Macaca mulatta: one gene and its partners. The protein of the gene in region 2 purifies or fractionates together with the protein of the main gene of each other region. This does not show direct contact. Links are inferred from orthologs where the notes say so. Each region holds a gene or a part of one and is shown on either strand. Other genes may lie near its edges. The genes, in order: RIPK1, SQSTM1, TRIB3, VIM, LRRK2, SPRED2 and VDAC1.

Region 1 (3,500 bases), on a different chromosome or scaffold from region 2:
TTCTCTGCTCCAAACCAAGTCCCTTTTTTCCTTGATCATCCCTGCAACAGCCGCTCTTCTCTTGCTTGCTATAATTTTCCTAGTACTCTCTCACTGCCAGTGAGGAGCTCCTATTATTTGTAAAGCTTGTGGGAAGAGGACCATCTCCTAAATGCTTCGGACTGGTCTCTTACTTATTTTCTGTGCGTCCCTCTGAGATACAGATTCATGATGGCGCTCAGATTTTATTTTACGTTTTAATGTTTCACGAACCCCATTCTAATGTTGATCATTTCTTCTCAGCCACAGAACAGCCTGGTTCACTGCACAGTTCCCAGGGACTTGGGATGGGTCCTGTGGAGGAGTCCTGGTTTGCCCCCTCCCTGGAGCACCAGCAAGAAGAGAATGAGCCCAGTCTGCAGAGTAAACTCCAAGAGGAAGCAAACTACCATCTCTATGGCAGCCGCATGGACAGGCAGATGAAACAGCAGCCCAGACAGAATGTGGCTTACAACAGAGAGGAGGAAAGGAGACGAAGGGTCTCCCATGACCCTTTTGCACAGCAAAGACCTTATGAGAATTTTCAGAATACAGAGGTAAAAGGCACCGCTTATTCTAGTGCAGCCAGTCATGGTAATGCAGTGCCCCAGCCCTCAGGGCTTAGCAGCCAACCTCAAGTGCCATATCGGAACAATGTTTTATATAGCTCACATGGCTTTGGAACAAGACCGCTGGATCCAGGAACAGCAGGTCCCAGAGTTTGGTATGGGCCAATTCCAAGTCCTATGTCTAGTCTGTATAAAATCCCGGTGCCTGAGACCAACTATTTAGGAAACACACCCACGATGCCATTCACCTCCTTGCCACTAACAGGTAAATGGGTCTTTGATAGTCACAACCTTGTCTTTTTTTATTTTTCAGAAAGTAAAGCAACCAACCAGCTCTATTGTAGATTGTGGGTTGTGATGGGGACAGAGGGTATCGTCCACGGCCAGATGCAAGTTGCCGCTGTGGAATGGACTCCGCCAGGCCACTTGGTCTGGGAGTGTTTCATCTGGGGCTAGGATTCATCACACATGTCCACAAGCATCAGGAGGTGCTTGTGACTGGCAGGCGCCTTTGACTCTAATGTGGAGTGCATAGTAGTCCTATTTCACCCAATCTCTGATCAATGGGAAGTTATCTGCTTATTTGCTTTTACCTTGCTTGCTGTTTTTTGAAGATAAGAAATCAGTTTTGGATATTTTTGTTTCTTACCTTATATAGCTCAAAGACTACCATTAGTGATGAAAAACTTTTTTTTAACTCCCATATATCTATCAGGTGAAGTAAAAGGTACGTGATAGTAGTTACTGGCAGTCTAGAATGGAAGTGATTTAATGTAATATCCAGCATTTTTATCAAATAATACTCACCAACATCACCTTAACCACCTGAACGGCATCTACCAGTGATACCCACAAGTGTCCTGGAGATCCTGAAATCAACTCAGGTACAGGAAGCTTTGAGAACCACAGAGCTTAGTTACAATTTCTTTCAAAACGCCAAATTCTCCAAAAACATCCTTTGAAAACATCCTCGATTTTTTCCATAGGTTTTATTATTAAGATCTGTAGAATGCAAAATACTGGATTAGACATTAAGCAGTATCCAAGTCATGTATAATCCTATGAGCAGAATATCCTTTTGTTTCCTTCATGTCTGGGGATAAAATTTTTCATTAGTATTGCCATATCATTTTATTCATTCATGATTAAGTCAATAAAAATTTCAGCTGGGGCCATGGTTGGCCAGGCATGGTGGCTCATGCCTGTAATGCCAGCACTTTGGGAGGCCGAGGTGGGTGGATCATTTGAGGCCAGAAATTTGAGACCAGCCTGGCTAACATGGTGACACCCTGTCTCTACTAAATAATACAGAAATTGGCCAGGCGTGGTGGTGCATGCCTGTAGCCCCAGCTACTAGGGAGGGTGAGGCAGGAAAATCACTTGAACCCTGGAGACAGACGTTACAGTGAGCTGAGATATGCCACTGCACTCCAGCCTGGGAAACAGAGTGAGATTGTGTCTCAGGGAAAAAAAAAAAAATTCTGTAATCCCAGCACTTTGGGAGGCTGAGGCAGGCAGATCACGAGGTGAGGAGATTGAGACTATCCTGGCTAACACAGTGAAACCCCATCTCTACTAAAAATACAAAAAAAAACAAAAAAACAAAAAAAATAGCTGGGCATAGTGGCACGCGCCTGTAATCCCAGCTACTCGGGAGGGTGAGGCAGGAGAATCACTTGAACCTGGGAGGCAGAAGTTGCAGTGAGCCGAGATCGCATCACTGCACTCCAGCCTGGGTGACAGAGCGAGACTCCATCTCAAATAAAGAAAAGAAAAAAGAAAAAAAAAAATCCAAAGCACTTCCCACTTTGTGCCATGCAGTTCTCCAGGCACTGGAGCTATAACTGAGCCAACAGCCTGAGTGAGTCCCTTCCCTCATATAGTTTAAATCCTAGTAGACAGAAGGCAGACCCTAAACCAATATTTAATGTGTAATTTTTTATCTTCTTTCTACATGAGCAACCCAAATACACTAGTTTAGTGCCAAAATCGCTTTCTGTTTTCACTCTTGCTGTGGTTCCTGATTCTGCCAGTGACAGATGTACAGGCATCCAGCTTCTTCAGGATTCTGAGATGCTTTCAGGGGGGAGGGGGCACTTGGATCTATAATAAATAATAGAATTTTCTGTGTTTCTGCTCCCAAAGATGATCCTGCTAAGTACTGAGCTAGTAAATGAACACGCTGAGTTTCTCCTTGCAAATTTAAATAAGTCTTTTGCTTGCTTTTGTTATCAAAATGTCCTAACTCTGTACCAAAATGTGAGTTTTCTAATTTGCCATACCATAGAAGAAGGGTGTGTGTATCCAGTAAGTACAAAAGGAAAATAAAAGTCTTCGTCTCAGTGAAAGAGCTCCTAGACCCACTGTTTCTATTCACTGTGCTGTTTGAAGTGAGGTTAGAAAAGGGAAGCTCACTGGGCTAGGGGTCAGGAGACCCAAGTCGAGTCCTGCGTGTGCCAGTCACTGCAGTGGGTGACTTTGGGAAAGTCGTTTGCCTTTCCAGAGTTCATTCTCCTCAATTATCAATGAAAATGTTACGAGTGAAAATTTATACATTGTAAGCTCTAGTGTGTTTCTAATATTGCATTCGTTGCTCCGTTTCATAACTTTCATGGCTTTTCCAGTGGCCAGATTTGGGCAGAAAGCACTGATTCAAGAAAACAAATCTCCAAGTAGAGAGGTGCAGGGTAGACCTCCATGTAAGCCCATGGTGAACGCAGACTGTGAGTGACAAACACAGTGTCAGTACAAGCTGGAGGTGGTGGGCCAGGAGGATTCAACAGGGTAAGGCAGCTTAGCACTGTGCCTGCCGATGCACAGAATAAGTGCTCAGTAAATGGTAGCTGCTGTTATTAGCACTGTTATTATCACTGTTAACAAGAACACCTAGACAGCCTTGAGTGCTGGAAGGTA
Region 2 (3,995 bases):
AAAGGAACAGGATCAGAGGGGCATGGGCAGGTATCAGGCCGTTAACAGTCTGCTGTCACCATGCATGTGTGCGGCAGATGTCTGTCTCCTCTCCAGACCCTGCACCCTCCCAGGAGTCAAGGAGGGTGTCTGTCATTGCTGAGGTCCAGGCCTGGGGAGGAGGACAGCCTGGAGGCTGGGAGAGCTGTGTGGCTGAGACCCTGGGCCACCCGCAAGGGTCTGCCTCCCTGGGCAGATCCTCAGCAGGTGCTTGGCTGAAGGCCACAGTTTGAGTGCTGGCAGAGCTGCTCCACAGGCCAGATATGAAACTGGGCCCCAAACCCTTCTCCAGGGTCCATTTTGCATTAGTCTAAAGAGGCCGTCCTGGGCTTGACCTTGGGCTTCCAGGATGACGCCCGCACCTGCTGTCCTTCCTCTCTGGTTCCCTGCCCATCTCCTTCCTTCTCTGCAGATTCCACTTCCTGGGTTCTTCCCTCAAGTTCCTGGACCCCCGCTGGCTGCAAAGTGGAGGCCAGGTTCCAATTTGGCCTCAGACTGGCTAAGCCTGGTTTCGCCAGGGGCTTAAGACAGACTTTCTACATGTGACAATGAGATGGGTTCACATAATAGCCTGGATTCCTAGCTTCACTGAGTCACCACAGAAACAGTGACAGCCCCTCAACAAGGCAGGCCTAGGTCACCCCCTACTCATGCCTCACAGGATCCTTAGGCTTCCCTCCCCTAGGGGCTGGGTCCTTGAATCTAAGCGCTCCCCTTCTTAGCTCTCCTGTTCCCCAGGCCCTCAAAGAGCCAGCCTCCCGGATGCCCCCACGGAGCCAGCGCCTCTCCCTCACTCTGCTGTCCCGGAGACTGGCTCCCTGTGGTAAGCCAGGCTTGCAGAGGTGGCTCCTGACATCAATCTGGCGGCATGTGGCTGCTGTGGGAGACACACACTGGCTGAGGACAAAGGGCAAGGGCTCATGGCTCTACCCACGACTGGAAGAGTGTGCCCCAGCCCTTCAGATAAGGCCCCACCTAGGCCTTCATGCCAGTCTGCTAGTCACCCTGCCAAGGACCCAGAATGTCCTTCCCCAGGTGACACACCCTACCTACAGATAATTCTGCCCCAGTCATGCCTGCCCTTGATAATATACGCCACCACCGGGGCCTCTGCCCCAGCCCTCCCTCCCCTGTCCTGCAGTCTCCCCGCAGAGTCCCTGGGTGATGGGGCTCTGGCCCTGGAGCCCCAAGGCCAGCCCAGGCCTCTGCTCTGACAGAACAAGTGCGGCAGGCGGGCGCGCTGGCAGAGCTCGGTGAGGGTAGCTGAGGCTCGGAAGGTCCGGAAGGGTCCAGGTCCTCCCAGCCTCCTCAGCCTCTCTGGGGTGGCGCTCCGGGACAGGGAAACAGGGAAGCAGGTGGCAGGGAGGCCAAGGGGGCAGGTAGCCTCAGCCCGCTTAGGCCTCCAGCAGGCAGGCAGGCAGGAGGCCACTCTCCCAGAACCTCCAGGCTAGGGGAAGAGCGCCTCGGAGGGCTCAGGCCCTACTCGGCCCCACCATCGCCAAGACCGGTCAGGGGGGCGGGGGGCGGGGGGTCGGTCTGCACCCTCCGCCTGCAAGAGCGCTGGGCGGACGCGGAGGGCGGGGGCCAGCCCGGGAAGCTCGGGGTGCGGGGGAGGGGCTGGGGCCGCACAGGAGCGCAGGGCAGCAGTGGCCGGGCTGGCTCAGGACGCCTCTCCCTCCCTCCCCCGCTCCCATAGGCCGGATGCTGCCGAGGCGTTCCGGGCGCCCGGGGGTCGGCGAGGGAGACCCAGGACCGGGTGTCACGCCGGGGTCGCCCAGGCCGGCGCGGGGCTGCGGGAGGCAGGGTCGGGGGAGGGCGGGTGGGGGGATGCCTGACCGCCTAGCGGTGCCCTCGCGCCTGTGTCCCTCACGCCGGCCCAGGTCCTGCCCAAGTGGCTGTGGCTGGCGTTCCGGGACCTCTGTGACCTTGGGTCTGTGCCGAGACCCCCACGGGTCCCCAGCTCAGCTGCGCCCGCGGAGTCCGGTCCGGGGCACCCACGGGCGCGGCCAGCGCTGGGCGGGCAGGCGCAGCCCGGGCCCGAGGAGGACGCCGCGGCTCCAGCAGCAAACAAGTGGGGGAGGGTGGGAGGGGCGTCCTCCGCGCCGCCCGGGCGGGGAAGGGGCGCCTGCGTCGGCTTCCGGCCGCCTCCCGCGGCCACCGCCGGGCCCGCTCCCGCCGCCGACGCCCAGGTGCGCCAGGTGCGGGCCGGGCCGGTCGGGCGGGGGTCGCGCTTACCTTTCTGGCCGCTGAGTGCCGCGTACCAGGACAGCGAGAGGAAGGCGCACAGGCAGAAGAGCAGCAGCGTCAGGAAGGTGCCATTGCGGAGCCTCATCTCCTCCGATGCGCGGCGGGCGCCCGCGGGGCCGAGGCTGCATGGCCCGGGGAACCGGGGCCGGGGCGCAGGGGTCGGAAGGCGGCGGCTGCAGGGGCCCCGGCCCCGGGGCGGGGAGGGGCGGGGGGGCCGGGGCCGGGCAGGGACCGGGCCGGGGAGCGCGCCTGCCGCTTCTCAGGGCGCAAGCTTTGTGCCCTGTACTCAGGGAAAAGGAACAGGCTCAGAGGAGCAGAGGCAGATATCAGGCTCACTGCAGGTATCAGGGGCGCGGGACACTGGCGGCCTCGCCTCCGCGGCAGGGCCGGGCCAGGCCGGGCTGGGCTGGGCTGGGCGGCGAGAGCCGCGGCCCGGCCTGGATCTGGGGCCTGGATCTGGGGCCGCCGCGGAGTCGACGGCGCAGGGCGGGGCGGCCCGGATTTAAAGGGGCCGCAGCACCGCCGCCGCCAGCGCCGCGAGGGGCGGGGTGGGGGCCGGCGCCCGTGATCCCGACCGGCTCCCGCAGCCCCGCTTGGGCTCGTGCGAGTCGGCCTTAGGTAAGGCCGGAGTGGGAGTGCGGGTCGACCGCAGCCGGCGCGGGCGGCGGGGGCGGCGCTCTCGGGCCCAGGTACTCTTCTCGGCAACATCTCCTCCGCGCGCGGACCCCGACCCCACTCGCACGTTCTCTGGGCTGTTTCCCGAGCGTGAGGGGCTCTGGGTGGCGCGGGGGACTGGGCGCTTGGAGGGGACTGGGCGCTTGGAGCCGGGAGCCACCGTTGCCTTCGGCGCCGCCCAGGGCGCTTTCCCGCTCAGGAGCTTCCTCTGGGGCGCGGGACTGAGACGCACAGGGGCCCGGGAGGCGGGAACAATGGGCCGTTCTAGGGGGAATCAGGGCCAATGCTCGTGGGTGCAGAGGAATGACCAGCCCAGAACCGGACCGGCTTCCCGGGACAGTGGCGGCCCAAGCGCGCCGCTTACGGGAGCAACGGGCCCTGCTCCCGGTGGTGCAGCGGCCACCTCGCCCCGCGCAGCCCAGCCGGCTCTTGATAGGGGCCCACGCCTTCGGATTTTTGTGGGTTTTTTTTTTTGAGACAGAGTCTCGCTCTGTCGCCCAGGCTGGAGTGCAATGGCGCGATCTCGGCTCACTGCGATCTCAGCCTCCGGAGTAGCCGGGATTACAGGCGCCCGGCTAATTTTTTTTCTTTCTTTTTTTTTTTTTTTAAGACTTTGGGCAGCGCCTGGCCCGCTCCCAGCTTGGACCTCCCAGTCCTAGGGGCCCGGTTCCGGGTGGAGGCTGCAGGGACCTCTGCCCCGCCCGCTCGGGGGAGGCCTGAGGGGCTGGACTCAGACTGGGAGTGAATGCAGCTTTGTCTTCCTAGTCCAGCCCCGGCCCACACCTGGGGCTGGGTGGAATCGGGAGCTTCTACGGGTCTGGACAATTCTCCCACAGAGAGATTGATGCCAAGAAGTGGGTGGCCGAGCCAGAGGCCGAGGTGGGCTGGATCCTGAGGCCCAGTGTTAAAGGACAGGGCTCCCCATTCAGTGCTCCTGGAACATTCCGAACTAGAGACTGGGACTTGTAGGCGCCTTCTAGAGGAAACTCGTGTTTTCACAGGTGTCTTCTATGTGTGGCAAAGGATAATGGCTT
Region 3 (4,027 bases), on a different chromosome or scaffold from region 2:
TCCACCTGCCTCAGCCTCCCAAAGTGCTGGTATTACAGGCGTGAGCCACCACGTCTGGCCTCTAGAGGAGTTATTTATTTATTTATTTATTTATGACACAGGATCTCACTCTGTCACCCAAGCTGGAGTGCAGTGGCACAATCATGTTTCACTGTAACCTGAACTCCTGGGCTCAAGTGATCCTCCTACCTCAGCTTACCAAGTAGCTGGGACCGCAAGCTCACACCACCATGCCCACTATTTTTTTCTCTTTGTAAAGACAGGGACTTACTACGTCGCCCAGGCTGTTCTTAAACTCCTGGCCTCAAGCAATCCTCCCGTCTTGGCCTCTCAAAGTGCTAGGATTACAGACATGAGCCAGCTCGCCCAGCTGAGGAGTTATATTTTGACACTAGTGAATTCAGATCAAAAGGGATTTCTAAGAAAGGTGCTGGACCCCTGGGACGCAGAGGGATGTTTCACCCCAAAGGAAGTAGCACCAAGCCCTCCCAGGCCTAGGGTGCAAGCATATTAAAGGCCTCTTTCCCTCTCTGTCTCCATTGTCTACACTCCATTGAGCATCCGAAATGTGCCACACACTGTTCTAAGCGTCTTACACATATTACATTATTTAATCCTCACAATAACTTTATGAAGTGAGCACAATTATGAGCCCATTTTATTGAAAAGGAAATTGAGGCAGGGTTTTAGGTAGCTTTTCTGGGGTAGCACTGTGGGTTGGAGGGGAAGGTGGAGTGCACTCTTAGGCCAGCTGGCTCTAGGGGCTCTTCGCCACTAGGCCGCACTGCCTCTAGCAAAGGAACGCGGGGAAGCTCACCAGACCTTAGGCCTCCCCAGGGTGCCACAGTGGTTCTTTTGAGCCCAGAGTCAGCTCTTAGGTCCATAGGCCTTCCTGAAGCTTCTGGACCACTTGCCCACAGCTGGGCCTCAGGCTGGCTCTCAGTAGAAGGGGGAGAATGGAGATTGCCAGATGTCCACTTCTCCTAAAGGTTTTATAAGGCGGTGCTGGTAATGTGCTTTACAAAAGGGGAAGCACCCGGACAACAGTCACTGTTTGCTCTTTTGAGCACCATCCCGAGAAGGAGGAATGTTCTTCCCATTTCATAGGTGGGGAAAGTAAGGCTCAGAAAAGCAAATGTTTTTTTCCAAGGTGATAGGGAGAGTCCGTGGCTGGTGTCTGCACTGAGACCAGACAACCCTAGTGGGCCAACAAGGGCGGGGTCCCCAGGTGCAGCGGAGGAGAGAGGCCCTGGCGGAGCGCGCCCTGGCGGCGACCCGGAGAGGCGGGGCGCGGGGATGGTGCAATCCTGGGCCTGAGGGCATCAGACGGCGGCTGATTAGCTCAGGTTTACATCACCCAGGCTGGGAGCCGGGAGCGCACGAGACTCGCAGCGGAAGTGGGGGCGGCTCCGCACACGTCCGCTGTTAGGACCCGGGCCGGGCTGGAGCTGGACCGGGATCCCGAGCTCGGCAGCAGCGAAGCGGGCCGGCCCACCTGCTGGTACCCTAGAGGCTCTGAGCACCGGCGGCGCCAGGACCCACGCGGGACGGCAGGACAAGGTACTCGGCGGGGTGCGGACTGTGGACTTGCCCGGAGCCTGGGGGATTGGAGCGGGCGGCCGGGGAAGGGGCGCCGGGAGGCTCTGCGCCTCTGCGTGTTGCTGCGTGTTACGCGCGCACACACACAACACCCCTTTTAACAGACTCTGCCGTCGGGGGACACCCTGGGCCTAGTGCTCCCCCCGGGCTTCAGGTGACGCGGCCCCGCAGGGCGTGGGGTCGCCCGAGTTTGGCTGGGGAAGCCAGGGACGGAGGTGTCCGGCTGTCACCCCTAGAGGAGGGTGTGCGAGGGTCTGTTTTGCGTGAGTGTGGGACAGGGGAGTCGTGTGGTGAGGTGAGGGGCTTGTGGGGGGCACTGGAGGACTCTTTATGGGGGTGTCGGAGGATCTGCGGGGGATCTGCGGGGGTCCTCGGGAACCCGTAGGAGAGAGTTCTGGGTGAGGGTGGGTCCCGGGGACCTGTGCCTCCGGGGATGGTGAGAACTGTCTGGAGGGCTGGGCACTTGGTGGCAGGGGTTGGAGGTGCAGGGGACACGGCCGGGAGAGGGCTGGGTGGGGTGCCCTGGGAGCGAACTGAGCGAGTGGTGCGGGAGCCGAACGAGTGGGAGCGAAGTCGCAGCGCGGGATCCCCGGCCGGGCAGCGCCGCTGGTTTTTCCCGCTGCGTGGCTCCGGGTTTGCAGGTGGAAGGTGCGCGTGTGTTTGCGGTGTGTGCTGTGCCTGCAGACCGGGGAGGGCGGGGGACGACAGCCACCTCTTTCCCTCTGCCTCACCCCCTCCTGTCCCAGGGCCGCCCTTCAATTTCCGCTGAAACTTCTGACTGGGACACCGCCGCCTTTCGCTTTCGCTCCCGCTGAAGGGGGCCTGGCTGCGGGGGGCGGGGCGGGGGGTGGTGGGGCCGGCCTTGCTTGTGTAGACCATGGGTGTGATAGCTGGGAGGGCTGTGTGTGTGTGTGTGCGCGCTAACGCTTACCCGTGGAGGGCAAGGGTGTGTCACTTAATGTCTGTCTTCCCTGGATGTGTTGTCGCTGGCTGGCTTAGACAGTGTCTCAGGGGTGTGTGTACACCTGTGAGCGCGCGCACGCTTGATGTAACCCGCCCTCATTTCCCTGGGTCTCGAGTATGGCAGGAAACAGCAAGAGGTAGATATTAGGGGCTGCTTTCATTCCACAGCACAGATTCTATTCTGCAGTGTGGTCTGCAAAATGCCTTGCCCAAGATTTATAGACTCAGTTACCCCATCTGTCCCCATCTGGGTGGAGCTTATCCCAGGCCCCAACAGGCTCTGAGGGATGACTGGGGCCAAGGCAGCCTGGAGTACTGATGTGGCACAGGCCAGAGGGACTTCAGGCAGTCTCCTGCTGCACAGGGCACAAAGCATGTGCACGGCCAGGTAGCATCCTGCGGGACTCAGAACAGCCTTGAGACTGTTCTGTCATCCCAGCCTCGAACCTGGGGAGCTTTCTAAGACTCCCAAGGATGGTACTTAAGCATCTTGCTGTGAAGAACAACAGGATGAGTGCTAATAGTGACCATTTCCTGACACCTACCCTGCAACAGGTCTATAAGCTCTACGTGCTTCATTTGTTTTTTCATTTCATCATCACTAAAAACCTGTAAACTTTGCATCCTGTTCCCACTTTACAGGAACTGAGGCTCAGAAAGCTTGAGGAACTTGACCAGGGGTACCCCCCAGCTAGAAAGGGTCTGAGACAGGATTAGAACCCAGGAATATCTGACTAAGCCACTCCTTACTGCGTTCTTACCAAGCCAAAGTCATGACCTTTCACTCATGTGGGGAGACCTTCCCTTCCAAGGCAGCTCTTCCGTTTAGGAGCCGCGTACTTGGAGAGGTGGGCCTCTGTCTGGTAACTGACTCATGTTTCCCTGTTCATCCTGCCTTGAACTGTTGGGAAGGTCTTTCACCAGGCTGAGGTCCCTCTCGCACCAGTGCTCAGACCTGGGCATGCACATCCTTGGAATGGAGTTTAAGTGGGTGGGCAGATGGGTTCTAGAGAGAACCTTCCTGCCCTGACATGCCCTACTGCCCTCTCCTTCAGCCACCCCACACACAGTCACACAGCTGCGTGGATGGTGGCTTTCTTTTCATTTAACAGTTCACTCTGGAGATCCTTTCGATTAGGCTATAAACAGCGTCCTCAACCTTTTAAATGGCTGCAAATTTTTCCGTTGTGTGGATGAAGTATAATTTATGTAACTAGCCCTGTAATTATAGACAGCAAATTATTTCTGTCACAAGGGCTGCAGGATAACTTTGTATTTGCATGCTTACACAAGCACACTTCTACAGGATACATTCTAGCAATGGGATTAATTGCTGAATCAAAACTCACACACTTCATTTTTTTTGTTTGTTTGTCTTTTTGAGACATTCTCACTTTGTCACCCAGGCTAGAGTGCCTAACCATGGCTCACTGAAGTCTTTACCTTCTGGGGTCAAGTGATTCCC
Region 4 (2,866 bases), on a different chromosome or scaffold from region 2:
TTTTTCCACTAAGGTGATAGAAAAGTCTCAACAGTTTAAGACCATAAGGCTATAAACTGAACTCCAAATATAATTGCTGACAAGATAAACAATCCTCACGCATCCTTTTGAGAGGAAATAAAATCTTAGTTGCAAGATTACATGTTCTGAATTGGAATGTTGAGCTTTACAAATGGAAACATAGAAGGACAGCTGAATCAGCAAAAATCCTTCATGTAGTTTCATTCTCTGCAAGTTTGACCAGTCATTCTGAAACAGGCCAACTGAACGGATACAGTGGCAAGCGAAAAAGACACGCCTTTGTAGGATGAGTCAAAGGAGTTTTAGAAGAAAAATCCATCAGAGAAAGCAGAGAAAATACAGTTCAGAGTTACATTTCTTTTCCAATTTTTCCTGAACTGAATCTTTGGCAGCATATCCTGAATTGGGTTATTATTGAATATAAATCTAGCCTTGTACAATGGATGCCACATGATTGCATATTTGCTTTGGAGCCTAAGGATAAGTTTCAAAAGATTTGAGTGGGGAAAAAAAGCTAAAACTCTTGAAGCACAAGTTTCTGTTCTCCATGTACTCAAGTGTACATGAAGTTATGAAAATATGTCCACCTCTATCATCATGTTATTCCATGAAATTACAAAACAAATCTTAACAATGTTGTGGCATAGATTTTCTAGATTTAAAAGGTAATTAAATTAAAGGAATTACTTTCTTTTTTGAGACAGAGTGTCACTCTGTTGCCCAGGCTGGAGTGCAGTGGCGCTATGTCAGCTCACTACAACCTCTGCCTCCTAGGGTTGAAGAAATTATCCTGCCTCAACCTCTCAAGTAGCTGGGACTACAGGTGTGTGCCACCCACCCAGCTAATTTTTGTATTTTCAGTAGAGATGGGGTTTCGCCATGTTGGCTAGGCTGGTCTCAAACTCCTGACCTCAAGTGATCCACCCGCCTCGGCCTCCCAAAGTGCTGGAATTACAAGCAAGAGCCACCATGACCAGCCTTAAAAAGTAATTTTAAAATGTCACTGGTAAAATGTGGATTCAGTCATGATTGAGTGCAGTTTACCATGTGTGTGGACGTTTATTTATTTTAAAATTGTCCGATCACCACCTTGAGTAAAACACAAGGGGTCACAATTAAAATATATTAGTGAGCAGGAGAAAGCACAGCATATTATAGCACTGAATGATTTATAAACCTATTCAAGGGTCATAAAATGTGTCAACACCTTTTCTATAGTAAGGAGACTAGGTTCAGATGGTTAATCTAAGACAAATAAATGAGATAAGCCATAGACTTTTACATCCTCCATGTCCTGTCTTTTCTCTGTTCAAAATAGGATGTTGACAATGCGTCTCTGGCACGTCTTGACCTTGAACGCAAAGTGGAATCTTTGCAAGAAGAGATTGCCTTTTTGAAGAAACTCCATGAAGAGGTTAGTGGAGTGACTTTTGGGGAATGAATGAGGGTAAGGCAGCCCCCACGGCTGGCACAGCTGACCGTCTGTCTGTTCTTTTTGCAGGAAATCCAGGAGCTGCAGGCTCAGATTCAGGAACAGCATGTCCAGATCGATGTGGATGTTTCCAAGCCTGACCTCACGGCTGCCCTGCGTGACGTACGTCAGCAATATGAAAGTGTGGCTGCCAAGAACCTGCAGGAGGCAGAAGAATGGTACAAGTCCAAGGTAGGAAACAAATCAGTGTGGCTTGAACAAAAGAAAAGCATTGTGTTCTCAATACCCCATACCTGTGTGCGATTCCTAAATATCCTCTAGCTCCAATGCAAAGCTGGCTTTGACTTCTTGCTCACATTGTGTTTGTCGCCACGGCCTTCCCACCACTCACATCACCTCCTTTATATATATATATGTATATTTATGAGACAGAGTCTTGCTCTACTGCCCAGGCTGAAGCGCAGTGGCATCATCTTGGCACACGGCAGCCTCCGCCTCCCAAGTTCAAGTGGTTCTCCTGTCTCAGCCTCCTAAGTAGCTGGGACCACAGGCAAGCACCACCATGTCTGGCTAATTTTTGTCTTTTTAGTAGAGATGGGGTTTCACCATGTTGATCAGGCTGCTCTCAAACTTCTGACCTCAGGTGATCCACCCGCCTTAGCCTCCCAAAATGTTGGGATTACAGGTGTGAGCCACCACACCTGGCCACATCACCTCGTTCAGAATAGCAGACTCCCTTTTCCCTAACCTTGCCTCCAAGTAAACCCCAATGCCATACCTTTGACGTCCACTGTGTTGAAATGAGCATAGTAGAGTGAACTTTGAAAATATTAATGTCAGTACTCCACTGCTCTTTCCCTGACTTTCAAAACAGAAATTTAAACCTATACTGGAAGACATTCAGTGAGAAATACGATTTTTTTTCTAAGAGAATCAAAAGACTTGAATGTGAGCAATCTACATTTCTGTTTTCTTCCTAACAGTTTGCTGACCTCTCCGAGGCTGCCAACCGGAACAATGACGCCCTACGCCAGGCAAAGCAGGAGTCCAATGAATACCGGAGACAGGTGCAATCCCTCACCTGTGAAGTGGATGCCCTTAAAGGAACCGTGAGTACCAACCCTGCAGTAAAAGAGGGAAAATAACGACTCATTCTGTTGACTAAGCTCATGGTGATAACCTGAACAAAATGCTAAGTGAGTAAAAATTTATACCTTAATGCAAAGAAAATGAATTATCAAGACAGACTCAAAATGGACTTGATGGAGCTCTTGAAGGTTTTAGCTTGCATATATCATTGCTTCTCATATGAAGGACTTGGTACTTGTATTCTCCACCAAAAATTATAGTGGTCGCCATTTGCCACTAATGGAAATTATTGCAGAAGGTCTGTAAATGTTTCTGGGAACAGCT
Region 5 (2,649 bases), on a different chromosome or scaffold from region 2:
CATGTGAATGACTATAATTTTATGTTCCTTTGTAACACTGAGACATCATGTAAAGCTTTTGAGTCTAACTTTTTTTTTCTTTATCCTGGGCACATGCATGCTATTTTTACTGAATTAGATAGCTTTGGTATTTATAAAAATTGTATCCTTCTTATTCATAATTTCCTGAAAATGAAGGGCTATTGTTGTCTTTGATAATTTATGCTTCAAGTAAAGAAATGTGGCTCTTTGGCATTCTGTGTTTAGCAAAATTTGCTTTGTATAATTTTAATGATGCATAATGTGTGGTGTCATGTTTTCATAATTTAAAATGTTATTTATGTTTTCATATATAAATAGCATTTATGTCTTAGCTGGTGGTAAAATTATTAATGTATACTTTATGGTTCTAGGGAGGTAATGGTAAAAGTAAACAAGGAATCAAAACACAAAATGTCTTATTCTGGGAGAGTGAAAGCTCTCTGCCTTCAGAAGAACACTGCTCTTTGGATAGGAACTGGAGGAGGCCATATTTTACTCCTGGATCTTTCAACTCGTCGAGTTATACGTATAATTTACAACTTTTGTGATTCGGTCAGAGTCATGATGACAGCACAGCTAGGCAAGTTTCTTTCCTTTAGATATTTTTCATATTCTCTAAGTCTTATAAAATATGCCTTTATTTTACATTTACTTTTTCTCTGCACTTTCCAGTGTCATTTGGATGGTCTTGGAGGTTCACACAATGAAACATAAGACTGGTGTAAATTGTGAATAGGGTCATTACAGAAATGGTGGGAGTAAATGCTCTCAGTCCCATAAGAGAAGCAGATTACTGCAGCTGAACACTCAGTTTGGGTCTTACTTGCTTTTTTCCTTTTTACCTAAGGCAAAAATGGGAAATACATAGTGTTGAATATATTTCACTTTTTGAGCAAAGAAAATAAAGAAAATGTTTATTTTAATCATAGTCTAGCCTCCCACGCTTGTTAAAGAATCTCATTTAGTTTTTCATTCTATAACAAATCTTTATTCTTGCAGCAATACATGCTGAACCACACAACCTACAAATATTGACAAATCATGTTTTACTGAAACTTTGTCTTTTTTTGCTTCTATTTTTCTATTTAAATATGATGAAATCGTGATAGCACATAAAATATATTTTCTGCATAAATATATTTGTGTCTTCCTTTGATAATAATTTGATTTAGAAAATAACAATAAAAGCACATATACAAAAGTTTACAAAAACAACACTATGGGGTTTAATTCCGGAAAAAACTAGAATTTATGTAACTTTAGCAAATAATTAATGAATGTTTTGAACGTGGTGAAGAAAATAGATTCATTACAAGTATGTGTGAAAGAGGAACATGTGTTTCTCTAGCACCTTCACCTATTTTTCATTTATAGACGTTAGAGTTGCACAGAAGGAGTTAGAATTAGATGCTCTTAATGACTGTGAACTATTAAGATACATGTCCACACAAGCAGAACAGTAGGTATCTCAATGGGTTGTCTCCGTAGTCTTATTCTACCAAAGTTGTTGCATTCTCTAGTTGAATTGTATGTACTTTGGGACCCGGATAGCTTGCTTATAACTGAAGTTATAGTGGAATTTCAATGGGTTACAGTTTGATTTTAAAATAAAGATCAATTTGAACATAGCCTACAAGGTGCTGCGTGAGCTGGCTTCACTGTACCTCTCCTGCCTCCATCATCTACCACATTCCTACCAGATCTTCCTCGTCTAGATGAACATCCAGTTCTTCTTAATTACTGTGCTATATTTTGCCTCAGGGATTTGCACATGCTGTTTATTTCTTTGCTTAAAGTAATTTTGTTATGCTTAGTTAACTCATACGCTTTGAAATGTTAGCTCCTGTGTCAAAACCTCTGAGAAGCAAACACTGATTAGGTCAAAGTTCCCACTTTGGGTTCCCATAACAGCTTTCTTGCATAGTTGTGATCATAGTCATATATATTTTTTTTCATTAATACTAGTCTCTTCACTAGAATATAAACACCAAGCAGGTTGGGTTAGTGTGTTTTGGTTTACCCCTTTATTCCCAGGATCTAGCCTAGGACTTACATAGAAGACTTTTGATGCAAATTTGTTGAATAAATTAGTGAATGATTTGAGAAGAAAATATGATATTTTGACATCAGTATATCCATCCATCTAAGTGTCCATCTAAATACTCATATTTGTACCTTACCATATCCAAAGAACTTTTCACACACATTACCTCATTTAACATTGTAACTTTGGGGAGGGTAATGTATAAATACTAAGCCTATTTTATAGAAAGGTTAAGCTGTTTTCTCTCACATAATTAAGAGTTGCAGCAAGGAGTGGATCACAGATTCTGTTACTTTTTTTTAATGCTGGCCTTTATTCAATATAATTTAAGGGTCACCTAGAAAATAGAACTGTGAATTCAGTTCCAAGGTATTTGTGTCTTAGACTATGAACAACTTTAATTTTTTTCAGACCAGCTTAATATATAGTTTTAACGGAAAACTTCCATATTTTGTTTTTGTAAAGGGAGCCTTAAAAATGTCATGCTGGTATTGGGCTATAACCGGAAAAGTACTGAAGGTACACAACAGCAGAAAGGTAACATTTAAAAGGATACTGTATTCCAAACAGTGCAATGACATGAA
Region 6 (3,945 bases), on a different chromosome or scaffold from region 2:
GTGCTGGGCTTTGCACGAGTAATGATTCTTAAAAACATCCGTTCCTTGGCCGGGCGCGGTGGCCCATGCCTGTAATCCCAGCACTTTGGGAGGCCGAGGCGGGCGAATCACGAGGTCAAGAAATTGAGACCATCCTGGCCAACACGGTGAAACCCCGTCTCTACTAAAACTACAAAAATTAGCTGGGCGTGGTGGCGCGCGCCTGTAGTCGCAGCTACTTGGGAGGCTGAGGCAGGAGAATCACTTGAACCCAGGAGGTGGAGGTTGCAGTGAGCCTAGATCGCGCCACTGCACTCCAGCCTGGGCTGGGGACAGAGCGAGACTCCATCTCAAAACAAAACAAAAATCCGTTCCTCTATTGAGACAAAAAAGGAAAAAAAATCACAAGATTCACGTGAAACGGAAAAGCCTCTGCCTTTCAGAACCTTGGTAAAGTCGAACCCCCTCTCCTTTCTGGTTGGGTTGGGTTAGAGAAGCCAGCCCCTGGCACCTGCGCCGCCCCTACCTTCCCACCCTGCGGTGGGGGTAGTTGTTCCTCTGAGCCTGAGCACCTCTTCAGCTGTTTCACTCCCTCCCCTCCCTTGAGTTTCGCATCTCCGCCCCCGCCCAACCCCCCGATTTTTAATCTTGGGGTTTGGAAGGAGGGAGGGGGCAAAAACGGGAGCCAGATGTGTAAGAGTCCTCCGCTCCCGCCTCCTCTCTCCTCTCGGGCTTCCTAAAACCCGGAGCCCTAATCAAGGAGGATTCGGAGCCAGACGGTCGCGGCGAAAGCAAACAACTCGGCTCCGCGGCTCCCCCGGGAGTGGAAGCCAGGAGGGAGGGGGAGAGGAAGCCGGGCGTGCTCAGTAGGCGGGACAAAGTTTTTTTTTTTTTTTTCTCCCGTTTTTTTCGGTCGCAAGTAGGAAGCTTTTTGCACTCCACCACCTCTGGCCGCTGGGAAGACGTCATCGCTTCCGCCCTACTTCCTCCTCCTGTTGGCGGCGGTGAGAATCCAATATGGAGTAAATCGGTGGAGTCGAGAGATGGGGCTCGGACGGGGCGCCCTGCACTGCCTCCCAGGCGCACCTCCCCCGGCCGCCGACCGCTCCCCGGAACCGTGATTGGCCCGGCCCCCCGGGGGCGACCCCGGACCGAGTCCCCCCACCCGCGGCCGGCGCTCTCCTCCTCCTCGCAGCAGTCCCCGCCGCTCCAAGGCGCGCTTGTTTTTCTCCTGCTCTCCCCCACCGCCGTCCCCTTCCCAAATCTCGCCCCCTTTGCCCGCTCCCGAGCCCCCGGAGCCTCCGCCCGCCTCTCCCCACGGCGCTGCGGCGTTCACTCCCCTTGCAGCCTGCCTTTGCACCCCTTCCCCCAAACCTCACCCCGCTCCCTGCTTCCCCTTCTGCTGCGGCGCCCCCATCTCTAGCCGCCCCCCCTCCCCAAATCAGGCGATCTCCGGAGATGTGAAGAAGGGGGGCGAGCGGACAGGAAGATGAAGGGAGCAAAGCTGCCCGCCGCGGGACAGGCGTCTAGGTGAACAAGAAAATGACCGAAGAAACACACCCGGACGAGTAAGTTTGGTCGCGGGGTGGGACGAGGGTGCCCCGCGGGGGCAGCGTGGGGGCCGGGGCTGAGGATGCGGGCGGGGACGCTTATTGGGTGAACTTGGCGTGGGGTGCAGCGACTCGCTGACCTGTCGGGGTTGGGACGCGAGGCTTCCCTGCTTGTTGAAGTGAGGAGGGGGCAAAAACTGCTGCGGGCTGGCGGGCGCACGCCTAGGGTCGGCGGGCTGGTGGCCGCCCCGGGGGCCAAGGGCGTGCGGGTGACCTCCGGGCGGTCCCCGCTCCCTCTCCGAGGACTCACAGCACCCCCCCGCCCCCGAAATCCTCGGCGGCTGGAGCGGAAGACCTGACACCCCCACTCCGGCTTCCCGGGGCCGGTGGGTTTTTGCACAGTGACTTTGTGACTCCCGCCGCGCCGCGAGCCCCGCAGTCCGCTCCTGAGCCCACTGGGGCCTAGGCTCCGCCATTTCGTTTTCTTGAATCGCTCTCATTTGCATACCACATTTTCATTCATAAAAAACACGGCGGAGCGAGAGGAGGACGGGCGCGGGCTGCGCTGGGGTCTGGTGCGCCAGGGTCCCCGCGCGGGCCGGCGTGCTGGAGCCGCCCGAGGGGCCCCGCGGTGCGTGAGTGCCTGTGCACGCGCTTGTGGTCGGCACACGCGTCCTGCGGGGTCAGGCGCCTCGGGGCGGACCTAGGCGAGTGCGGCGGGGGCGTGCGGGGCAGCGCTCTGGGGGCGAGTGTGTGTGTGTGTCCTCGCGGGTGCGCGTGCACGGGCTTGTGCCCGGCCCGCAGGCCCGAGGGGAACAATGCTTGGGGCGCTCCGCCGGAGGGATCCCGGGCAGCCCCGCGCGGGACCCGTGACTGTCGCCAGCCCGGGGCGGAGGTGCAGCTGCCTCCTGCCTCGCGGTCCAGGGGTCCAGTTTGGCATTTTCTCTTCCTGGTCCGAGGCGTTTTCTGTTTCGGGTGCGACGGGGGCGGGGCCGCGGGGCCCGACACCTCAGGTCTTCTGCCTGGGGTCCGAGCGGTCATCGCGCGGCGGCCGCCGCTGCTGCTCAGTGGCTGTGCCCGCCACCAGCCACTTTTTTTTTTTTTTTTTTTTTTGTGAATAAGACGCTCTCCTTTATTGTCACATGATATCCCTCCCCTCCTCCCCTGCACATTCATAAATCCGGAGTCTGCATCGGTTCCTTTCATTCAGTGCTGCCATTAGCCAAGGTAGTGGCGGCGCGGGCTTGGGCTCAAAGAGCCGGTTGGCAGCCGCGGGGACGCGCCCTGGAGGGAGGCCCCGCGCGCGTCTTAGCAGTGGAGTGCGGGCTGCGGGAGGCGTGCTCCAGAGGCCCCAGGTCTTTTGCCCCCCGCAGGCATTGGGCCTCAAGAGTGCTGGGAGGGGAAGTGACTCAGGGCTGGGCGACAGGGAGGCTTGTCTCTTGCAGCAGGTGACAGTGTTGTGCTCTACTCTAAGAAATCTACTCACTTTATTAAATATACCCCCTTTATCCTTTGGCGTCTGCTGTTGCCAGTCTGGGCGGGAATGGGGCTGCTGTTTGGGGAAAGGAATTTCAATTTCCTTCCTGTGAGTCCCCAGGGAACTTTGACTGCAGTAACCCCTGATCTTCCAGACACCCGTCACAGGAGAGGATCCCTGCTGGTGTGCCTGTCGCAGATGTCCCACCACATCTGCTGGTGTTTCTATTTCAGACGTTTTGCTTTGTCTTCGTATATAGCATCTTAAAATGGTAAAATGAAAAAAAAGTTGCGCTTTTAGCGCTGAAATATAGAGAAGGATTATGCTTCTGGGCCTTGCTGCCTTGTGAACGTGGCCAATAAATCAGTATTTTTATGGGCCCTCGATTGTACCTGCACACAGAGTAGCAGCAGTGGCAGTGAGGTTGGTTGCTGTGCTCTGGCCTTGCAGATTCTTGGAGAGGTTTGACCGCTCTACCTTGGCTCCACTCCTTGGGAATACAGGCCTGACCTGGCCCTTTTTGTGGCAGCTTGTCAGCCTTGCATCTTTCTCCATCTGCTATCCAAAGCAGAAGGATTTCGAGTGGGATCACCAGCGAGGAAAGAATAGTTCCATTTTAGGCTCTCAGAGCAAGTTCAGCATGAAGCTGCAGCCTCCACTGCTGTCACAAGTCCAGTTGAGAGGATAGATATTTGAGGAGTTGTAGTTTCACTTAGAGGCTGAGAAAGCCTTGGCATCTTAGCCACTGAAGAAATGGGCTATAGGGGTTATTTTTAATGTGATGACCTTGGCACGAGACTTTACATGCCTGAGAAGAAAGCGACTTCGTGGGCTGTAAACTGCCATGGTAGCTACCGTCTATTATTATGTTCAACGTACCTGTGTAATGACGCATCTGAAAAATTCCTTTTAAGTGTTAGTGACAGTAAGGTTTCTCTC
Region 7 (4,135 bases), about 46 Mb from region 2:
CCACTGAAACAACTTTTCTAACTCAAGTCGCCACGTTCACATTTAATCTGCCGTCTCTTTCCAGCAGCCAGTCCTGATTGCCTCCTCCGCAGCCCCAGTTGCCTACTGCTTTAGCTAGTGTCGCTGCTGGCTGTGAGGAGTGTCCTGATTCTGTAACCCGGCACCTCCTCCACAGGGCCCTAGACGCCTGAAGCATTCGAGGACGTTTGTTGATCAAAGGCGAAGGGTGTGCAGAAGCTTCGTCCATCTACGAATTAATTCTCGAAACCCGCTTCAAGTGGGCCTCGCGCGGAACACAGGGAACACTCAGTGGTGAACGAGACCACTCGCTTAGGCCTAGCAAGGAGAAGGTGACCGTTCACTCAACACATACTAACTGGGTCCCACAGGAGCACAGGCCCCGGCTGGTCGCGTGTTCCCCGCGGTGCCCTCAGCCGGCCGGCCGGCCAGAACCGGCGTGATTTCCTCGCGCCGAGAGACCCAGCAGGAGCCTCGCAAAACCCAATTCACGTTTTATTTTATTATTTTGCCTCTCGAATGCATGGAAATTGGCTGTTAGTAGCTTTGCTACAGGAGAAAATCGCTAATCTGCGGTGCAAAATCGGCACACAGGGGTTTTCTCCGCGATTGTCTAGACGCCATGCGGGCGGGTCGGAGGCGCCAGACACATTGTATCCGGAGCGCGGAGCTCTGGAGCAACAGTCGCCGCTGCTACTCAGTATCTGCGCCGCTCCCAGCGCCCAGTGTCCGCGCTGGGCCTGAGACTGACCTCGGGGGATGGGGCCCACCCGGGCTTTGATGGGGGGCCGGGGGTCACTTCGTCCACCCAGGCAAGGCTCGAGTCCAGCGCCGGCCACATCAACTCCCGGGGGATCTAGCAGCGCGGAGGCCGACCAGGAGGCCCAGAAGCCCCGCGCGTCTTCCATTAGCGCAGGGACCTCGGGGCCACCGCTCAGAGAATCAGAAGGCCTCCTCCCCCTTCCCGAGCGCTGCCACTGGGGCCGAGGTTTCCAGCAAGAACCCGCGTGTCCCTGCGCACGCACACACGGTGCACACGTCAATACCGCGCCTCCCCGTGCCCGGGCTCACGCAGGTCCTCCCGCGCGTCCGCAACGCGCCCGCAGGCTACCGTGTCTGCTGCCGGGGCCGCGGGGCCCGGAAGGGTAAGAACGCGACTCGCGAGCTGGACGAGGACCCCGGCCCGGCCCGGACGCTTTCCCGGGCGGGGCCTGGGGGCGGAGCGCGCCGGACCCGGCGCGCGAGAGGGGAGGCGGGTCCGCGCCGCCGCCGTCCGCGCCGCCCCGCCCTTGGCCCCGCCGCTTGCTCGGCTCCGCTCCCTGCGTCCGCGCCGCAGCCCCCGCCGTAGCCGCCTCCGAGCCCGCCGCCACCGCCTCTGAGGTAGGCGCAGCGGAAAAGGACCCTGGCTCCCTTGCGCCCTGGACGGCGGGGGCCGGGCCCCTGGGGAACTGAGAGGGAGGCGCTGAGGGAGGAGCGGGCGAGGGGCCTCGGGAGTCCGGCCCCGGGGAGGGAGCCCGAGCGGCTGGCGCGGGCCTGGCTGGTTAGCTGGCGGGCAGAGAAGGCCGCGCAGGCGGGCGCCGAACGGGTCCGGGCTGGGGACCGCGAGGCCGGGGGTCCGGAGACGCTTGCGGCTGGCGGCGAGAGGCGTCCCGAGCTTGCGGGCGGAAGGGCAAGGGCGGCCGCGTGGAGGCCCGGCGGGCCGCGCGTCTAGGTGACCTTCCCCGGCGGCGCCCTCTGGCCCTGGATCCCACCAGCGTGGATCCGGCGGGGACCCGTTCGCCGCCCACGCTCGCTGGACCAGGCCAGCAGGCTGGTGCCGGCCACGCTGCCGCCGCGGGGATGAGCTCACGTGACGACCGTGGCCCCGCGTCCCCAGGCCCACGCGTCGTGGCCGGCCCACGCCCGCAGAAGCTGGCGCCCGGCACCGCCCGCCTGTGCCAGAGCCTTCTAGGGCGGAACCCGCCGGCCGAGAGTCGACTTAGGCCGTAGAGGCCGGAGCTCGGGCCTGGGCTGGAGGTTTGGCCTAGGAAAAGGAGGCCCCACGGGGAAGGATGTGGCCTTCTTGGCCTTAGGAGTGATTCCTGGTTCGGTCGTTCATTCATTTGCCAAACGCGGAGGTGCATTTGGGAGCCTGACGTTGGATCAGAGGCCGGCAGTCCTAGTCATTTGTACAAGGTCACACAGCTGGGAAGATCGCAGACCTTCGTTTTCTCATCTGTAGGATGGGAGCAATTATACCTCTCCTTCGTTGAGTTTTGGGGAAGAATAAAATGAATTAATTAACATGAAACCTTTAGAACAGTGCCGGTATGGAGAAGGGCTAAGTAGAAACCCTGACACCCTTGGGGCTTTTTGGGTGAATCCAGCCCATCCCCTGCAGACCATTTTGCTACACGTGGCGTTGTGGAAAGGGTTCAATAAATGTAGCTCCTGTTTTTAAGCATTTTTGCACTATTATTGACAAGCATTTGTATACCAGGTATTGAGTAACTTTCACGTTAATTTATGAAAAGTGTTGTAAGTTTACAGATGGACATTGTCAAGCTCGAGCAGTAAGTTTGCATGTGGAGACCTTGATTGCAGGAGCAGACCCTGTTTTAGAGGCCTGATCGGTCCGGGGTCCCTGTCCCCTTGACTAGCCTCTCCTCTCCTGGGGAGATAAGGGAAAGGGCTCCTCTGTTGCCTAAACTTCTCCACTGAGGCAGGGGAAGACCAGGGCAGACTACCGAGGGCCTGCCTGCATTCTGCCCACCCCAGCTCTGGACCGACTCAGCTCTTAAGGGTCAGACTGAGGCACTGAGGCCCTGTGCTACTTTGTCTTCAGTGCCTGGCGTGATGCTGTTTGGCACACAGTAGGTGCTTGAGAAGGGTCTGTGGGGGTAAATGCACTCTTGTATCAGAATCCACCCACCTTTATTGACAGAGTTTTACTATTTCAGTACATGGTACATAGTGGGTGCTTATTAGGTATTTGTGGAATTTTTGAATGGGCATGTGAAGGGCTGCAGGCCCAGACCATAGTCCTTTGATCCTAAACGTTTTTTCTTTTTCTTTTTTTTGAGACAGGGTCTTGCTCTGTTGCCAGAGTGCAGTGGCACCATATTGGCTCATGGCAGCTTCTATCTCCTGGGCTCAATCAATCCTCCCACCACAGCCTCCCAGAGTATCTGGGATCCCAGGCACACACTACCACGCCTGTCTAATTTTTGTATTTTTAGTAGAGTGGGGTTTCACCATGTTGGCCAGGCTGATCTCAAACTCCTGGCCTCAAGCAATCCACCCACCTCAGCCTCCCAAAGTGCTGGGATTACAGGTGTGAGCCACCATGCCCGGTCCTGGACATCGTTTTGAGGGACACACACATCTCACTTGTGGAAAACAGCCTCACCTAGAAGAGAGTCACAGATATTTAAAGAACTGTAACAGACTGTATAGTCTCTTGAAATAAGTGCTTTAAACACATTGTCTTCATTCTCTGGTTTTCCAAGTCCCGAGGGAAACTTGTTGAACTGGTGTTTCTGGGCTTGCAGGGCGGGTGACGTGGGTGATTGGGATTCTACAGAAGGTGTTGGGTCTGTTACCCCTTCCCTCGTGGTGGGTGGATGGACAGCTTATGCTGGGGTTGTCCAGAGTAGGGTGCCTGCCTCTGGGTAGTGGGGACTACTCATTGTTGATGATTTAGTTTTATTTCTGCTATTCTAGAGTGGGGCTGTAGGCAGGGGTTATTTGTAGCATAGAAAGTGGGAGACCATACAGGGATGAAGTGCCTGTGGGCCCCTGGCCTTGCTGAACACTAGGCGAGTGTGGACAGTGAACATGTTGGGGTGGTGAAGGGCCTCCACCCTCCACCCTTACCAGGAAGATGCTCCTGAAGCACTGAAGTCCACTTCGCCCTGATGGAATTTCCCATGGTGCAGTGTCTTCAGTGGTAGTGACAGAGAGGCGCATGTATGGCTGAGGACCAGCCCAAGCCTGGAGGCAGCACCTCCCAGTGCTCCAAGATTCTGTAGTCTGCGGCTTTGGGTTTTCCATGGACTCCTGTGGTAGCCACTGAGAAAAGGTGACCAGTGGGCTTCTCAGCTGGGTCTGGGCACATTTCTCCATTTTACCGCGTACT

The links.
Region 1: the proteins of SQSTM1 (region 2) and RIPK1 purify together in Homo sapiens (affinity purification with western blotting; 3 studies listed by BioGRID and IntAct, with this or other methods). This does not show direct contact. The link is inferred for Macaca mulatta from reciprocal best matches to the Homo sapiens genes SQSTM1 and RIPK1.
Region 3: the proteins of SQSTM1 (region 2) and TRIB3 purify together in Homo sapiens (affinity purification with western blotting; 3 studies listed by BioGRID). This does not show direct contact. The link is inferred for Macaca mulatta from reciprocal best matches to the Homo sapiens genes SQSTM1 and TRIB3.
Region 4: the proteins of SQSTM1 (region 2) and VIM purify together in Homo sapiens (affinity purification with western blotting; 3 studies listed by BioGRID and IntAct, with this or other methods). This does not show direct contact. The link is inferred for Macaca mulatta from reciprocal best matches to the Homo sapiens genes SQSTM1 and VIM.
Region 5: the proteins of SQSTM1 (region 2) and LRRK2 purify together in Homo sapiens (affinity purification with western blotting; 3 studies listed by BioGRID and IntAct, with this or other methods). This does not show direct contact. The link is inferred for Macaca mulatta from reciprocal best matches to the Homo sapiens genes SQSTM1 and LRRK2.
Region 6: the proteins of SQSTM1 (region 2) and SPRED2 purify together in Homo sapiens (affinity purification with western blotting; 3 studies listed by BioGRID). This does not show direct contact. The link is inferred for Macaca mulatta from reciprocal best matches to the Homo sapiens genes SQSTM1 and SPRED2.
Region 7: the proteins of SQSTM1 (region 2) and VDAC1 purify together in Homo sapiens (affinity purification with mass spectrometry; 3 studies listed by BioGRID, with this or other methods). This does not show direct contact. The link is inferred for Macaca mulatta from reciprocal best matches to the Homo sapiens genes SQSTM1 and VDAC1.

The regions. Positions count from the first base shown.
Region 1 is NC_133409.1:180,157,785-180,161,284, reverse strand, and holds part of RIPK1 (receptor-interacting serine/threonine-protein kinase 1), read left to right. Parts: intron 1-282; coding exon 283-852; intron 853-3,500. UniProt on the Homo sapiens protein: Serine-threonine kinase which is a key regulator of TNF-mediated apoptosis, necroptosis and inflammatory pathways.
Region 2 is NC_133411.1:188,804,057-188,808,051, forward strand, and holds the start of SQSTM1 (sequestosome-1), read left to right. Parts: upstream 1-1,195; 5' UTR 1,196-1,292; intron 1,293-1,875; coding exon of another isoform or gene 1,876-2,371; exon of another isoform or gene 2,372-2,648; intron 2,649-2,737; exon of another isoform or gene 2,738-2,975; intron 2,976-3,995. Other genes in the region: MGAT4B (alpha-1,3-mannosyl-glycoprotein 4-beta-N-acetylglucosaminyltransferase B), read right to left, coding at 1,876-2,371. UniProt on the Homo sapiens protein: Molecular adapter required for selective macroautophagy (aggrephagy) by acting as a bridge between polyubiquitinated proteins and autophagosomes.
Region 3 is NC_133415.1:83,776,392-83,780,418, reverse strand, and holds the start of TRIB3 (tribbles homolog 3), read left to right. Parts: upstream 1-1,227; 5' UTR 1,228-1,560; intron 1,561-4,027. UniProt on the Homo sapiens protein: Inactive protein kinase which acts as a regulator of the integrated stress response (ISR), a process for adaptation to various stress. Inhibits the transcriptional activity of DDIT3/CHOP and is involved in DDIT3/CHOP-dependent cell death during ER stress.
Region 4 is NC_133414.1:18,791,409-18,794,274, forward strand, and holds part of VIM (vimentin), read left to right. Parts: intron 1-1,339; coding exon 1,340-1,435; intron 1,436-1,522; coding exon 1,523-1,684; intron 1,685-2,436; coding exon 2,437-2,562; intron 2,563-2,866. UniProt on the Homo sapiens protein: Vimentins are class-III intermediate filaments found in various non-epithelial cells, especially mesenchymal cells. Vimentin is attached to the nucleus, endoplasmic reticulum, and mitochondria, either laterally or terminally.
Region 5 is NC_133416.1:47,244,711-47,247,359, forward strand, and holds part of LRRK2 (leucine-rich repeat serine/threonine-protein kinase 2), read left to right. Parts: intron 1-392; coding exon 393-605; intron 606-2,534; coding exon 2,535-2,602; intron 2,603-2,649. UniProt on the Homo sapiens protein: Serine/threonine-protein kinase which phosphorylates a broad range of proteins involved in multiple processes such as neuronal plasticity, innate immunity, autophagy, and vesicle trafficking.
Region 6 is NC_133418.1:59,261,233-59,265,177, forward strand, and holds the start of SPRED2 (sprouty-related, EVH1 domain-containing protein 2), read left to right. Parts: upstream 1-1,145; 5' UTR 1,146-1,521; coding exon 1,522-1,547; intron 1,548-3,945. UniProt on the Homo sapiens protein: Negatively regulates Ras signaling pathways and downstream activation of MAP kinases. Recruits and translocates NF1 to the cell membrane, thereby enabling NF1-dependent hydrolysis of active GTP-bound Ras to inactive GDP-bound Ras.
Region 7 is NC_133411.1:142,905,587-142,909,721, reverse strand, and holds the start of VDAC1 (non-selective voltage-gated ion channel VDAC1), read left to right. Parts: upstream 1-1,335; 5' UTR 1,336-1,398; intron 1,399-4,135. UniProt on the Homo sapiens protein: Non-selective voltage-gated ion channel that mediates the transport of anions and cations through the mitochondrion outer membrane and plasma membrane.